Xenopus tropicalis: one gene and its partners. The protein of the gene in region 2 binds, or shares a complex with, the protein of the main gene of each other region. Links are inferred from orthologs where the notes say so. Each region holds a gene or a part of one and is shown on either strand. Other genes may lie near its edges.

Region 1 (4,807 bases), on a different chromosome or scaffold from region 2:
TTTTTTTACAGTTTTTGTACCTTGCCAACAGTTTTGTAACTTTCCATGTAGTTGCAATGTGACCATTTATATCTTTTTATTAGTTCAGATTATTACAATCCCCATCCCCCTGTTTTGCATATACACTTAGAGACAGGTGACATTTCCTAACTGCTTGTAGCCAATACATTTTGTATGCTGCAGATAGATATTGGATATTTCAAGAGTGATGACAGATGCCACATTATCTTTAGGGTGATGACAAACCATGGTTTTAAACTTATTTTTAATAGTTCTGTGGGAGGGGAGTAAAACATTTTAAACTGGGAATCTCATGCAAGGGGGCCTGTCCAGTTACGTGAAAAATTCTTATCTCTAAAAAATGCATTTTCAAACAATAAGCAGCACTTGGCAGGACTTAAGCTGGCCAGACATGGGTAGATTTAATATGCCAATTCAACTCCTTCAGACCGAGTTTGCCAGATATCTATCAGGCAAATTTTAAAATCCCTTTGAGCTAGGACTGCTATGGTGTGTTAATGCAGTCCTCTTGCAACAGGCCTACATAGGCCCTCGCTGTATGATTGTGGGTGGCTAAACTGGGCCCAGATCGCTTGTTTAGCAACCTTGCCTACTGAGCAGATTTGGCTGTGTAATGCCAGCTTAAGAACTTGTGGGCAGGATTTATGTTTTTAGTCCCCTTCCATGGAAATTGAACCAGATTTTAAAAGGCAGTGTGTCTGTGACTAGTTATCTATTTGTCAGATTACCAGTACAGTAAGACAGGTGTTTGCAAGATACTACATACAGTATTATTATTTTAATGGATTTCGTAAGAGAAAGTAAACCACAAGAGCTTCTGAAATCCTGTGGGGTTTCTGAAAGCTGAACAGCAGACTTATTTACATTCATAATTTCCCTTGTGTCTGTCCTCTTGCATCAAGCGCTCATATTATGCTCTAATCATTATATGCTAATGTATTAATTAGTATGATCATTCATAACATCTCCTTATAGTATGCAATATAAAAAGATGATTTTGCTACTTGATATCATTTTTATTATCATAACATAGAAGAATATATACAGAAAAATAACATGCTGAAAATGTATTCTGTCTATTGGATTAATTATAATGCATTTTGTCTATTTGTTTATTATAAATTGCAAGAACCAGGAAGTTTGAAACATAACATTTATACTGTTACATGTAGTGGATAAGCCTGTCCTTTGCAGAGATGAAAGAGCCTACATCTTATCATTGGATTTATTTGTATTGTTGTAGATTAATAATGTATTCTTTATGTTAGCACTACGCTTTTTAAAAATGTTTGAAGCTAGTACTTAGGCTACTATATATGACCTAACCAGCAGTGATCCCCAACCAGTGGCTTGGCAGCAAAGTGTTGCCTACCAACCCCTTGGATGTTGCTCCAAGTGGCCTCTAAGCAGGCAAGTTTTGGTTTAATAAAAAACAGCTGCCAAACAGAGCCTCCTATAGATTGGCTATCTGGTAGCCCCAATATGACAATCACATCCCTTATTTGGTACCCCAGGAATTTTACTATGCTTGTGTTGCTCCCCAGATCTTTTTACTTTGAATGTGGTTCATGGGTAAAAAAAAGTTGGACACCTGCCCCATGGTTACATCTCCCACATTTCCTGTATAGATACAAAATTGCTGAAGTTAATTTATTAGCTATTGCCTGTTTGCCTTTTTAAGTAAACCAGTTTGAAACATATGAGCTTTAGTGCAAATCTCCAGCATACAGTTAGAAATTATGTAGGTTTTGATTATGCCTTGATGTTTTTTCTTCAGGAAAGAAACATGTCTTCTGACACTGAATCCAATGCACTCACTAAAGAGGAATCTGAACAAATTGAAGAGGCTACCGAAGAAAAAATGACTGACGATGCAGAAAATGGAAAAGAGGAAGATGAAGAAGAAGAAGAGGAGGAAGATGATGAGGAGGAAGATGATGATGATAAAAAGGGTATCTATAGTGTTTTATAGCTTTATATGTAAATGTATAGAACGCTCATCTCTCCAACCAACTTCTGAAAAAAGCCTGTGAAAATTTGAAGACTTGTACAGCAGGAAGTATTGATACCAGTGTATGTTTTTATATAATGCATTCTAAATTCTGGTTCTCTTCTACTGCTTATATTGAACTAGTATTAAATATACTTGTTTGAAGTAAGGAAATATAATTGTTAAATAAAAATGGAATAGTTGAGGTCTGTTACCCTAGCTGTACATCTTTACACCTCACTCCCTCAAACATACCAACACCCGCCTCATTAAAAGTTGGATATGCTGAGATATTTACTGAGACCCACACAAAGGATTGTCATCACAGCCCTAGTGATGTATTACATGGAAATAACTGAGCAATAAGTAAATATGTAAATTAGTCTCTACCATCTGCATGTTTGGTTAGGTTGGCAAATGTGTGGATCTTTGCCTGATTTCTCCACAGACAAGCAAAATCAGGCTGATCCAGTCAACTGGATCATACTGTGGACCCACTGGGAGAGGAACACATGAATTTCATGTCTTTGTGTGGTACATATGTTTATAGTTGTTAGTGTTGGTTTTTGAAGCTTAGAAAGATATACATGCTAAAACTGTTACAGAGACAAACTCATACTAGGGCACTATCTAATCGCATACTCAACTTTGAGAAATAGACTATGGAAAGACAACGAAAAGTTGGTATATGATCTAGTATTGTAGGATCTAGTTGGATCTATGCTTGGGAACTTGGGTTTTCTGGACAAGAGGTTTCTGTAATTTGGATCATTATAACTAAATAAAAATTTAAGGCTGCTGGCACACAGGGAGATTAGTTGCCAGCAATAAATAAAAATTATATAATAAATTAAATTACTTGTGGGAAAACATTTGCTGCCATTTTTTCCTTTGTGAAGAAACTTTAGGTGACTTTGAAAAGCACCCCATATTTTTTCCCACTGGCGATTTACTTGCTGGTGGAAGGGCATTTGTAGAAGATTAGTCGCCTGCAATAGAGGTGATTTATCCCAGGCGACTGTTGTTCTTCTGTTTCAGCAGCATAAACATTAAAGTGGTTTAAAGTAAGTAAAATATAATATATTGCTGCTGTGTGCTGATAAAACTGGAGTGTTTGCTTTAGAAGGCAACTATAGTTTATGGAAATAAGCTGCTGTGTAGCCACGGGGGCAGCCATTTCAGCTGGAATAAAGGTTAAAAGGTGCAGGTTACATAGCAGATAACAGATGAACTTTTTAGAATACAATGGTCTTTTACAGAGCTTATCTGTTTTCTGCTATGTAAAATGTGCCATTTAGCCCTATTTCTATATGAATAGCTATGCCCATGGCTACATTGCAGCTTTGTTTACATAAACTGTAGTATTATTTCTGAAGCTAACACAACTTTTACCAGTCCAAGGCAACAGTACATAATATATTAATTACACTTGTATTTTTTGGTGTTTACGTTCCTTTAAACCAACCAATAGCTTTGTTTTGCCACAAATATGAATTCATGCAGCTTAGTTAATATCTAGTGCAAGATACTGTATTACACAGAAAAAAGTAAATAATGTAAAAAAAAAACTGTGGTCATGAGCACTACAATGTAACATTCAACATACTTTCGTTCAAACGTGGAAGGTCATCACTGAGAGTTGGCAAATTATTAGGCATACAATGCACAATTAATATGTAGCAAATTAGAAAATCCTGTTGTATGAGGACCACATTAATTCATTAAATAAATTTCTCTCCTGACAGCCCTCCCTAGTCCTTCATTATGATTTGATTGTTGGCACAGTGGCCAACTGATCATCCTGATTTGGGCCAGCACATTGTAGCCAAATTGGGTAAATATTTACTCATCCACCAACCTCTCCAAACAAGCAGGTGTATCCCAACTTAAGTCTTGAGAATAATGTATATAGTTAACACTTGAGCAAAATGTTAAAAGCCCTAGTTAGTATTAGTATGGTATTTTTATGTGACCCTGGAGTATTCTTGTTTCTTTTCAAGAGTTCCTTGGAAAAGGTATACACAGGTTTATATTGATGAATATGAAATGATTTTATTCTCACTTTGTATTTATTTAGTAAAATATTGGAAGATGTGTGTGTTTTATTACCGTAACTTTTCTCAAAGCATGTTTCAAAATTCTTTATTGATCAGTATGATGCACCTTCAGCTGTGTGAAGTTATGACTATACAAATATACAAATAATATTAATACTCATCCTAAATTGTGTGAGATCTTTTTTTTGCAGAGAAAAGCTTAATTGTAGAAGGGAAAAGGGAGAAGAAAAAGGTGGAAAGACTAAGCCTCGAGATGAATATATCTAAAAAGGAGTTTGTTCTGACTGAAGGTAATGTTTTTACTTGTTCAAAAGTAAGTTCTACCTATGAAATTGATTTGCAACCTTGTCAGATCTAAAAACTATAATGTTTATTTTTGAAATAAAAACTACTAGATAGGTTTTTAGGGCTCTCTTTCTGATTACTGTATTTCAAATACCGTCTTTGCTCTGTTTTTTACTCTGTATAAATGAGTTGCTCATTCAAGTGCTTTCAGACAATAGTCATAAATGCTGATTTAAGTGTTTTGCTTTCCTTAGCCCTGTTTGCTTTACCTTTAAAATGAAGTGTTCAAAATACCCAAAATATGCCATTCCCTTATATGTACCAGTATCTTATTTTGAGAGTCAAATAAATAATTAGATCTCTGGAAGGGAGGGGATCTGGTTTTCATCTCATCCAGTCCATCTTTAATCTGTTTGATCCAAGTCAAATTCCACAGACTAAAGCTGATCATACA
Region 2 (5,588 bases):
TACTTTGTATCTTTAGGATAGAGCACACAGAATTGGGCAAACTAAAACTGTTCGTGTGTTCAGATACATAACGGATAATACAGTTGAAGAGCGTATTGTGGAACGTGCTGAAATGAAACTGCGCTTAGATTCAATAGTTATTCAGCAAGGTATGTCTAAAAGAAGCTACTTGTGTCAATTGTATTAAGGGGTCTTTTGACAATAATTATCAGTAAAATTGTAGGTCCTGAGCTTTTTGGATATATAGTCCCATACTCGTAGAATATTTGTGTTTCCATGGCTCATTTGGTAGGATTATGTGGTCACTTGCCACAAATGTTGTTATATTTAAGTAGGCATTCTCTAGCCATGTGGGTGAACTGTGCTGGGAAAGGGAGGGGGAGCAAATTTCTGCCAGGGCTAACCATTTGGTAAGGCTAGAATAGTCTTGAGCCATCATGTTGAAAAAAATATACATTTCCTCACGTAGAGAATGAATGTGCTATAGAGCTTGGTACAGCTAGTATAGGCTTTTCATGTTTAGGGGTTATATTCTATTTTTGTTTAAACTGAGAGTACATTTCAGGTTGTATGTTTGTATGGCAGAGGGGCTAATTTACAGACACTGGACACATTTGCACCTATGCAGTCACCCATAGCAACCAACCAAATTTTTGTTTTCATAACTTGCAGCTACCTGAACAAAGCTAATCACTAGTTGCCATTAGGTTACAGCACAAGAGTATGGTACGTATAGGCAGAGTAGGGCAGGCAGAGTATGGCACACACAGGCTGTACTCTGCCTGTGTGTGTGTGCGCCATACTCTGCCTGCCCTATGCTGCCTGCGTGTGCCTTACTCTGCCTACCCTATGCTGCCTGCATGTGCCATACTCTGCCTGCCTTATGCTGCCTGTGTGTGCCTTACTCTGCCTACCCTATGCTGCCTGTTAGAGGTAAACCTGGCAGGGGTTTATTCTGGAAGTTTGTTAGCATTTGGAAATAGTAATATATGGTCCCTAAGATGTGTAATTTTATACTGGGGGATGCTGTGCTATCCACAGGTGAGGAGGAGGCATATGGATTTAAGGGTGTGTCGTAAATATTATAATTCTTTCACATATGAATGAAGGGTGATATCCCTACATCATTTGGGTTTTTGCTGCACTAACACCCTTACTGTTAGAAGCTCTTGTGATGGGTGTGGTTGGAAGTGTTTGTGGTTTTAAAAAAAAAAAAAAAAAAAAGGGGGGGGGTGGTCAAAACTGACTTCCATTATCGGCCCTTTGTACCACAGAAATTGGACAACACTGGTCTAGATATTTGAGTCATTCACAGGAATGACTCCAGATATTTTTATGGTTGTATCAATGGTGTGGGGTTTTTTTTTTTTTTTTTTTGCTTAATGTTTTACTGACTAACCTTTTTCCATATATTTCAGGTAGATTAGTGGACCAAAACCTAAATAAATTAGGGAAGGACGAAATGCTTCAAATGATTCGACATGGTGCTACTCATGTATTTGCATCAAAGGATAGTGAAATCACAGAGGAAGACATTAATGCAATCTTGGAGAGAGGGGAGAAGAAGGTACATTTTTATAGGCCTTTAACACTGAAGAGACATACAGAATCTCTCTGAACAAACTGTTACCCAGGATATTGTAATATATGCTAGCAATAGGATACCATTGGCACACCAGATGTTAGCATTTTTGAGTTGTTATGCAACAGTATACATTATTCCATTACTTTTTTTGCATTTTCTTTTTTTCCTTTAAGACTGCAGAAATGAATGAGAAACTCTCAAACATGGGTGAAAGTTCCCTTAGAAACTTCACGGTGGATAATGAATCCAGTGTTTATAACTTTGAAGGTGAAGATTACAGAGAAAAGCAAAAGGTGAGTCATATTTTCCATAGGTGTGTATTTAGTCTTACGGGCTTCTATAATTGGCTTCTTGCTTAATATGAGCTTCAGAAAATATGGGTGTTATCTAAAGATGCTAAGATTGTATAAAGTATGATAAACAATTAACTACAAAGATAATTAAAATTACTCCTTGAGTACCATAAAAATTTCCATGATTTTAAAAAAGTTAAAAACTATTCAAGTTAAGCATTATGGGAATCCTAACTTTCTTTCTGATATTAACTTATAGATGGCATTTACAGAGTGGATTGAACCACCGAAAAGGGAACGAAAAGCTAATTACGCGGTAGATGCGTATTTCCGCGAAGCACTCCGTGTTAGCGAGCCAAAAGTACCAAAGGTGAGTAGCTGAGTGCTACAGCAGTACTGGATGCAGTGAGAGGGATCACTAATTACTTTAGATCTGGAAATGGTATTTTTGGGTAGGGCTACAAAAGTCCAAAGCTGTATTTGGGGGTAATTGATTCAGCATTGTCATATATGGTATTGCTGTTTCAAGTACATGAGTTGTATTTGTCATAAGTCTGTGAGACCTTGGGATGGGAGGGTAAGTTGAAAATATACTGCTTAAAGTAATGCAGATATTTGCTGCAGGGGTAGATGATGGTTACTAATGTTACAAGATTTAGATCTTTAAACGCATCTCTAGAGGTGTGAAATATTGCGCTAATTAGAAAAGTTCATGCTAAGCTGCTCCTTGCTGATGTAAAGAATTGTCTGCCATATAAACTACAGAAGCTCATTCTAGTTTCCATCTCTATATGTAATTATCTGTATAGTGGAGACATGAGCTTGAAAAGAAAAATGTTGGTTCCCTTACTGTGCAGCTTATGTCATGTAAATAATATTATGTCTTATAGGCTCCCAGACCCCCAAAACAGCCAAATGTTCAAGATTTTCAGTTTTTCCCTCCACGTCTATTTGAGTTATTGGAAAAAGAAATTCTCTATTACAGGAAAACAATTGGCTACAAGGTAAGTTCTCATTTCTAAATTAAATGTGATAAGTGCCAATTTGTTTTGCAAGGTTCCTATTAAGTCTTTTCTCTGCAGCTAAAGCCATAGCTGTTATTGTAGTGTTTGGTTGGTAGTATGCAGGTTCCATTGTGCACACATTACTTGTATTGCGGCACACAAAATAAATGTTTTGTAAACCAATGCATATCTGCTTCAGGCCTAGCCTTCTCTTACGCATGTTTGGGTGAAACGACCTCCAGCATACCTACTTTCTCTTGCATGTAGGATAGTCCTTCCCAACAGGCAATGATAATGAATTATAGAAACATTTCTCATTTGATATATAGTGAATTTGCAGGAGCTCAATAAGGTGGTTTGCTTGATTACAAAAACAAAGAGAAGACAATTGGCAAAGGAAGTCAATATGCAATTCAGAGTTATGCAGGGATGCCAGATTGCAAAACAAGATACATTCCATGCACTTTCAGTTTGTAGATGATTTGCTTTACCCCCATTATTCCTAAATCAGAAAATGTTTTTTGAAATGCCAGAGAAATTAATTTTGCCATCTGCTCAAACCACTTGCTGTTTTATGCATATTGATATGACAATTATTTTTTCTTGCTTATTTTAGGTACCACGTAATCCTGATCTGCCAAATGCAGCACAAGCACAAAAGGAAGAACAACTAAAAATTGATGAGGCAGAGCCCCTCAATGATGAAGAGTTAGAGGAGAAAGAGAAATTGTTAACTCAGGTAGGAAGAAACAGTACAGTGCTTTGAAGAGAAACTGCATTTTTAATATGGACAGGATGAAAGTTTGATTAGCGTTGATAAGGTAGATGGTGTATGTAGGGTTTGAGACCAAAAAGCTTGTTGTTTTTAGCCTGTACAGTTCTGTTGCCTGTAGACGTACATTCAAGCATGTTCAGATTCTGGAAGAGTTATGTATGTTTTCCTCTCATGACTTTCAGGGTTTCACAAACTGGAATAAGAGAGATTTCAACCAGTTTATTAAGGCTAATGAGAAATGGGGTCGTGATGATATTGAAAATATTGCGCGGGAAGTGGAAGGCAAGACACCAGAGGAAGTCATTGAGTATTCAGGTAATCCTTTCATTGTAGACACAAATGTTTTTAATTGCTAAATAAACTAGTACAGTATTGTGGATATTCACTGGAAGACCTTCCTAAGCTTAATATGCATTTAGCTTCTGCTTTCACATACTTTTTATTTATTTATTCTCAGGCTCCTGGGCAAGTATTTGCTATGAGACCTATAAAGTCATATTGCTACCTATAACTCTGTACTCAGAAGCCTGTAGTTTCTTTTTATTGTTCCAAGTAACAATTTAATTTTTTTCATTTAGCGGTCTTCTGGGAAAGGTGCAATGAGCTTCAAGATATCGAGAAGATAATGGCTCAAATAGAAAGGGGAGAAGCGAGGATACAGAGGAGGATTAGCATAAAGAAAGCTCTAGACACAAAGGTACCATTGGTATTTGCACACAGTTTAGACTGACGCTTTATTTTTTGCTTAAATTGCTGTGCACATTAAACCCTGCCAGTAGATCCACACACACACACACTAAGGTACAGAGTTATTTACATGCAGGCCTGCTATTAGAAACTCGTGTGGCTTTGAAGAAGAAAATCTGTACCGATTTTATGAAAACAAATTCTATGCAGTTTTAGTCCCCCTTCACTTTACTTGCTCTCACTGCTGCAGATAAATCTTTAGATGGCAGCTGACTGCTCTATGTGGAAATCATCAGCACTGCCCGATTTCAACCTGGTCCTACATCTGGTAAAATCTCAGCTGTTGGATTTTGCTGAATTGGGAGTGGGTTTGAGGTCCACCTTAGAACTTTCAGGATACTGGATAAAGGTCCAGTATCTGTATGCTGTTTCGCTGGGACCCTTTGCCCCTTGGTGGCTGCCCTTTATACAGGACTAACCATGACCCTCTTGCTTCCTAAATGTATTTGTAAAATTAGAATGGAACTCCTTATTGCAAATTTTACGCTACACAATTACGTTTAGACTAATGTCACTTAATTTTTTTAGATTGGAAGATACAAAGCACCTTTCCACCAACTGAGGATTTCGTATGGTACAAACAAAGGAAAAAACTACACTGAGGAAGAGGATCGTTTTCTCATTTGCATGTTACACAAGCTAGGTTTTGATAAGGAAAATGTGTATGATGAACTGCGGCAGTGTATACGGAACTCTCCCCAGTTCAGATTTGACTGGTTCTTAAAATCAAGAACAGCAATGGTGAGTCTTAGCTTTCGATTTCTTCAGGAAATACAATAAATTTGGATTTAATCTGTTTTTTTGGTTTTTTTTTTATTTTAAAATGTTACTTCCACTATATTTTTTCTCATTGAGAAAAAATTAGTACTGAATAGAATTAGTACTGTCAGTGCATCAGCTTACAAAGCTTGACATGTGGCATCAACCAGTACGGTTTGGGTGTTAATATCCTGGTTCTGTGACCTGTAGGAGGTGAATATTTGCCTGCCCTGCAGCTGGTTGCAGCCCCGGCAAAATCCCATCTGGATGTATAGCTGGCAGTGACAATATTGTTTCTGCAATTAGACATGTATGCTGTTGGCCTGTATATTTGATATAGGGTATTCTCCTGCAGCTAATGGTGTCCTTTAAAAATGCAGTTTACAATGTGCATTGGGATTTCATTTGTATGTTTTGTGGTTTCT
Region 3 (4,807 bases), on a different chromosome or scaffold from region 2:
TCATTGGGCCATTTTAGACAACATGGAAATGCTTATTAATATAATAATAAGGATTCCAAGCGTGTTACCCTGATGCTTTGTGTTATCACAGTCCATACGTGCGGTATGTGTGCTAATGTGCAACAGTCCTATGCAGGGAAGATTAAAGGGGTTGTTCAATTTTGAGTCAAATTTAGTATGATGTAGACAGTAATATTCTAATAAAATCTGCAATTGGTCTTCATTTTTTATTATTTGTATTTTTTTTTATTATTTCATTTTTTGCTCAGTATCTCTCCAGTTTGCCATTTCAGCAGTTATCTGGTTGATAGGGTTTAAGTTACCTTAGCAACCAGGGAGTGGTATAAATTAAAGACTGGTATATCATCATTAGAAAACCTGAATAGAAAAATAAGTCATAAAAAGTAACAATAGCAATAAAATTAGAGCCTCACAGAGCAAACAGAGCAATAGTTTTTCAGCTTCCGGGGTCAGTAACTCCCATTTGAAAGAGTCAGAAGGAGGCAAATAATTCAAAAACTACAAAAAATACAGATTAATTGAAAAGTTGCTTAGAATTGGTCCTTCTATAACATTAAAAGTTAACGTTAAGGTGAGCCACCCCTTTAAGTTACCATGCTTTCTCACTCTAAATGTAACTAGAAGGGAGAAAAGGAATCTACCTCCACCCCCTCCATCTGCATCTCTGATATCATCTTCTATTGCTTCATCGATTGCTTCATCGAATTCATCAAACCTAAGACAAGTTGTCAGTAAATGGAAACATTAAGTGAAAGGAAAATTCAATTAACATACAATCAAAATACTATATCCAAATCCAAGATACATTTCATCTAACTCATATCTAAACCACAGCTGTGCCACGGCAGCCAAAGCCTACATAATAACAATAAAAGTCCAACCTGTAGCTTATGAACTTTCTTGCTCTTGTGGACCGTCTTTCCAATGACTTTGGTTTCTTTTTCTTCTTTTCTTCTTTTTCCTGTACCTCCGGCACCTCCTCTTGTTCCTAATGCAACATTTCAATATCAGTTCTCAGTGTTCTATCCCAAATCATGTGCCAGTTAGTGATAAGATATGGAGATGAAAAGCTTACTTGAGTTGGGATGATGTTCTCGAGGCTGATTCCAACGTAAACTAACCGTTCTTTCCTACAATGAAAACAATACATACGGGTAATTATACGTTTTGATTGTTATGACAAACTACCAAATCACAGTATGAATATTCAAACTATGGCCTTCAGGTTGGAGTTCCTCAGACGGCCAGATATGAATTGCAGTTTAGAGATCCCAGCCTACAAAAACACTCAGCTCTTGCAAAAATGACTAGTGTCAGGCTAATGTTACATAGCAACAGTCTGGCCAGTATTTGCAAGATCAAGTGCAAGTTCATATGTCTCTTCATTTGTAAGCAAAACAGTCACATTAATACTTATAATATACTTGCTATTGGATGAATGCTATCAATTTAAAGGATAAGTAAACTTTTTTTTAATCTTTAAAATTACTCCAACATACCTTTCTCCCTGGATGCAGATTTATTTAGTTGCTCTATTACAGCCAGTTCAGCTGCAGCTTTTGCTGACTTTGTTGGCTAGTGTAAAGCGCTGTCCCCTTTTTCTTTCTGAGCCCTTTTCTCCAATTATGAAGACCTCAAAGAGTTGCCTACTGGACATGCTCACTGCCTCTGCTCCAATTAAAATCAATCAGGCATGCGCAGTAGTCACCTCTGATATTTTCATAGTCGGAGAGATAAATCTGAATGCAGGGAAAAGTAAAAGGTTTACTTATTCTTTATGGCCATTTTGCTGACCGTTCTCTGGCATTAATGATGTCAGACCATGCTCTCTGCATTTTGCTTTCTTGTAAAGGAAAGTTGGACATTGAGGAATGTGGCCTATTTGCTTTCTAGTAAAGGGACAGCAACAAAGTAAGGAGCATATGGGTTGGATAAGGAGGTTTGGGTCAGACTCAAGGTTAAAAATGTATGCTGAGTCAATAGCAATTGCATAAAAGCTATGGAAAACAAAGGATACTGAAAATTGGAAAGCAAATGCATTTTACAGTCTTTAAGAGGTAACTGATGCAACTCGCAATAGCAGCAACAGTGGCAATGTTAGGAAGTGCAATTAAATACCTCCTCTCTGCTCGCTCCTTCTTCTTCAGAACCACATCTAAATTCTGTAACTGCTCATCCAGTTTTTCACACAGTAGCTTCTGTTTATAAATAAGGGAAAGGTATATTAATCAGCAAAATTACTTATCACTTATTTTTGCTTCCGGTAATAAGTGTTTATGCCTTGATACCTATTTACTGAGCCTTAACTAAAAAATGAAAATGAAAAAGATGCTATATGACCCATCTGATGTGAGAATGCTCCCATTGAAATCCTTGGAAAAGGCTAACGCTTAGTATCTCAAATACATGAGCTACAATACATTGGGGCAGATAAAGAGTTGGATAGGCGCTATGTAGTAGAGAAGAAATAGGAATAGGAATAGAGGAATAGGAACACAGTAGTCTAGTATAGTAGTTTATAGTAGAGCGTCAATAGTATCTATATTAGTTCCAAACAATAATTGTATACGGATACTAAAATGTGCAACTGGAATCATACATGTTGGCATGGAGGGCAGAACCATTCTCCGTCTGGAATCAACATCAGGGGTGGCCTAAGGCAAGCCGTATGGTATCCACTGTCACAGGAGTCACACAACAAAATCTGAATGAAAAAACAATACGGGTAAATTATTAACAGTTCAGCATCCCTTGTTAACACAGTTTAAAATGCTGCAGAATAAATAAGGAATTTCCTACTGAATTGTGCTTAGTACAGAGGAATCCCTATGCTGCCATAGTTTTTTGGTATCTCACTGTACAGGCTATGAGCAAACTTAGGGGGCTGTTCCTGCTGAATTGTGCTTAGTACAGGGGAATCCCTATGCTGCCCTTCTATTATCTCTATCACATACATACAAAGGGTTTATTAAAAAAAAATAGTTTTGAATCTGTAGCAGGAAACTAGTATTTTTCTAGTGATGGAGCAGATTTATAAGTTGTGGTACGTTTGCAATATATTTAGTACTAACCAATTCTGGGTGGTTGGGGAGGCCACACTTCTTGCAAGGCTCATCATCTTCACCGGGGGCACCATCTTCCTTATTCTCTTCATCTTCTGAATCCCCCTCTGAATCCTCCTCACTGTCAGACTCCTCACTTTCATCCTCACTGGAAGATTTGCGTCTCCGCCGCGACCGAGAGTTTGTCCAACGCGCTCGCCTCCTCTGCCTTGGTTTATTCTGATTCAAGGTGAGAAATACACATACATTAGCTGGAACAGAAAGCTGCTCTTAATAATAATATGGCCCTGGTCCTTTACAGCCAGAAGCTTTATTAGCTGTGCTCTCTAGGAAACTTATGAAGGAAGAAAAGAGAATGTAAAAGGAAACACAGACAGGATTGGTCCCAGAGAATTATCCACAGCCCTGCACTGCCTCAATCTATTTCAATAAAAACCCACATATTTGAATTGCAATGACCCCTGTAAAATTTCATATTTTTTAGTCTACACGTTAAAGATTTTGATGTTCTGATGAGAAAACACTAGGACAGCTCCCACTGAAAAACACCAGTAATAAGATAAATCTGGCTCCATGGTCCATATATTTGACTAAATATATTGTGAATAATGTAATGCCTATTGTAAAATATAAAGCTATTATAAGATACTAAGAAGTTTCATGACCCTATAAATGTACACGTCATGGAAATCCAAGGTGGCTTCTAATATCCTCATATTTTATAACAAGGGGTACATTATTTGTTACAATATGCAAGTTTTCACTGAGTAATGTGACAGAAATTACATTCTATCATGATTTTTATGGGGTACTTTTATTTCTAAATTTCACTGTTACACAGCAAATAATTCACTCTGCCATTTAACATTTCATTCTTCAACCAATAAATGAATTTTTTAGCTGTAATATTGGTGTGTAGGCGCCATCTCAGTACATTGTGCCTGAGTCTGAGCTTTCAGCCAGCGCTACACATTAGAACTGCTTTCAGCTAACCTATTGTTTCTCCTACTCCCATGTAACTGGAGGAGTCCCAAGCCGGACTTGGATTTCTTACTATTGAGTGCTATTCTGATACCTACTGGGAGCTGCTATCTTGCTCCCTTCCCATTGTTCTGCTGATTGGCTACTGGGAGTAAGTATATTAATAATTATATTATTTACATGATATTTTGTATTATAATAAAATAGCTGTAACCCCCAGCTTATATATAAATATTTTTCCTACAGTTCTGGTCAAAATGCCCAACGTGCCACAGCCGTAAGTAGGCAAGGCCCATGACATTACTGGACACAAATCTTACAAACAAGCACCTTTTTTATTTTTTGGCTTGAGTCTTTATCAGTCTTTCTCTCGTCATCTTTCTCTGTTCTCTGAGAAGCAGGCTTGTCTTCCTCGTCGCTTTGTTTCTTTTCTGCCTTTCGATCTTTGACTTCAGCAGCTGGCTTCACCGAAGGGCGGGAAATTCGAGGGGAACGCCTCAATGTGCGACCGATACTTTCCTCAGCCTCCTCTGAAATTTCAGGCTGTGCCTCCGGTACCTCATGTCTCCTATTCTTACTGGCCACCCGGATAGTCCGAATTGTCAACTTTATTCCCTCTTTATGCCTCTCTGATGTTGTTTCCTGACCTTCTGTCTCACTGCTCTCATCCACTGGGTCATGCTTATATCTAGATCTACTCTTTGAAGCCGGTTTCTCTGTATTTGAGACCTTCTCCTCTTCCT

Evidence for each region.
Region 1: smarca5 (region 2) and dek share a complex: the UniProt entries of both Homo sapiens proteins name them as parts of the B-WICH complex. The link is inferred for Xenopus tropicalis from reciprocal best matches to the Homo sapiens genes SMARCA5 and DEK.
Region 3: smarca5 (region 2) and rsf1 share a complex: the UniProt entries of both Homo sapiens proteins name them as parts of the RSF-5 ISWI chromatin-remodeling complex. The link is inferred for Xenopus tropicalis from reciprocal best matches to the Homo sapiens genes SMARCA5 and RSF1.

Annotation. Positions count from the first base shown.
Region 1 is NC_030682.2:93,528,140-93,532,946, reverse strand, and holds part of dek (protein DEK), read left to right. Parts: intron 1-1,798; 5' UTR 1,799-1,807; coding exon 1,808-1,973; intron 1,974-4,259; coding exon 4,260-4,358; intron 4,359-4,807. UniProt on the Homo sapiens protein: Involved in chromatin organization.
Region 2 is NC_030677.2:59,223,485-59,229,072, reverse strand, and holds part of smarca5 (SWI/SNF-related matrix-associated actin-dependent regulator of chromatin subfamily A member 5), read left to right. Parts: intron 1-16; coding exon 17-149; intron 150-1,418; coding exon 1,419-1,567; intron 1,568-1,758; coding exon 1,759-1,878; intron 1,879-2,137; coding exon 2,138-2,248; intron 2,249-2,768; coding exon 2,769-2,882; intron 2,883-3,498; coding exon 3,499-3,621; intron 3,622-3,839; coding exon 3,840-3,972; intron 3,973-4,235; coding exon 4,236-4,354; intron 4,355-4,932; coding exon 4,933-5,145; intron 5,146-5,588. UniProt on the Homo sapiens protein: ATPase that possesses intrinsic ATP-dependent nucleosome-remodeling activity.
Region 3 is NC_030678.2:168,868,659-168,873,465, forward strand, and holds part of rsf1 (remodeling and spacing factor 1), read right to left. Parts: coding exon 4,395-4,807; intron 3,303-4,394; coding exon 3,093-3,302; intron 2,726-3,092; coding exon 2,621-2,725; intron 2,220-2,620; coding exon 2,140-2,219; intron 1,152-2,139; coding exon 1,097-1,151; intron 1,010-1,096; coding exon 903-1,009; intron 737-902; coding exon 663-736; intron 129-662; coding exon 69-128; intron 1-68. UniProt on the Homo sapiens protein: Regulatory subunit of the ATP-dependent RSF-1 and RSF-5 ISWI chromatin-remodeling complexes, which form ordered nucleosome arrays on chromatin and facilitate access to DNA during DNA-templated processes such as DNA replication, transcription, and repair.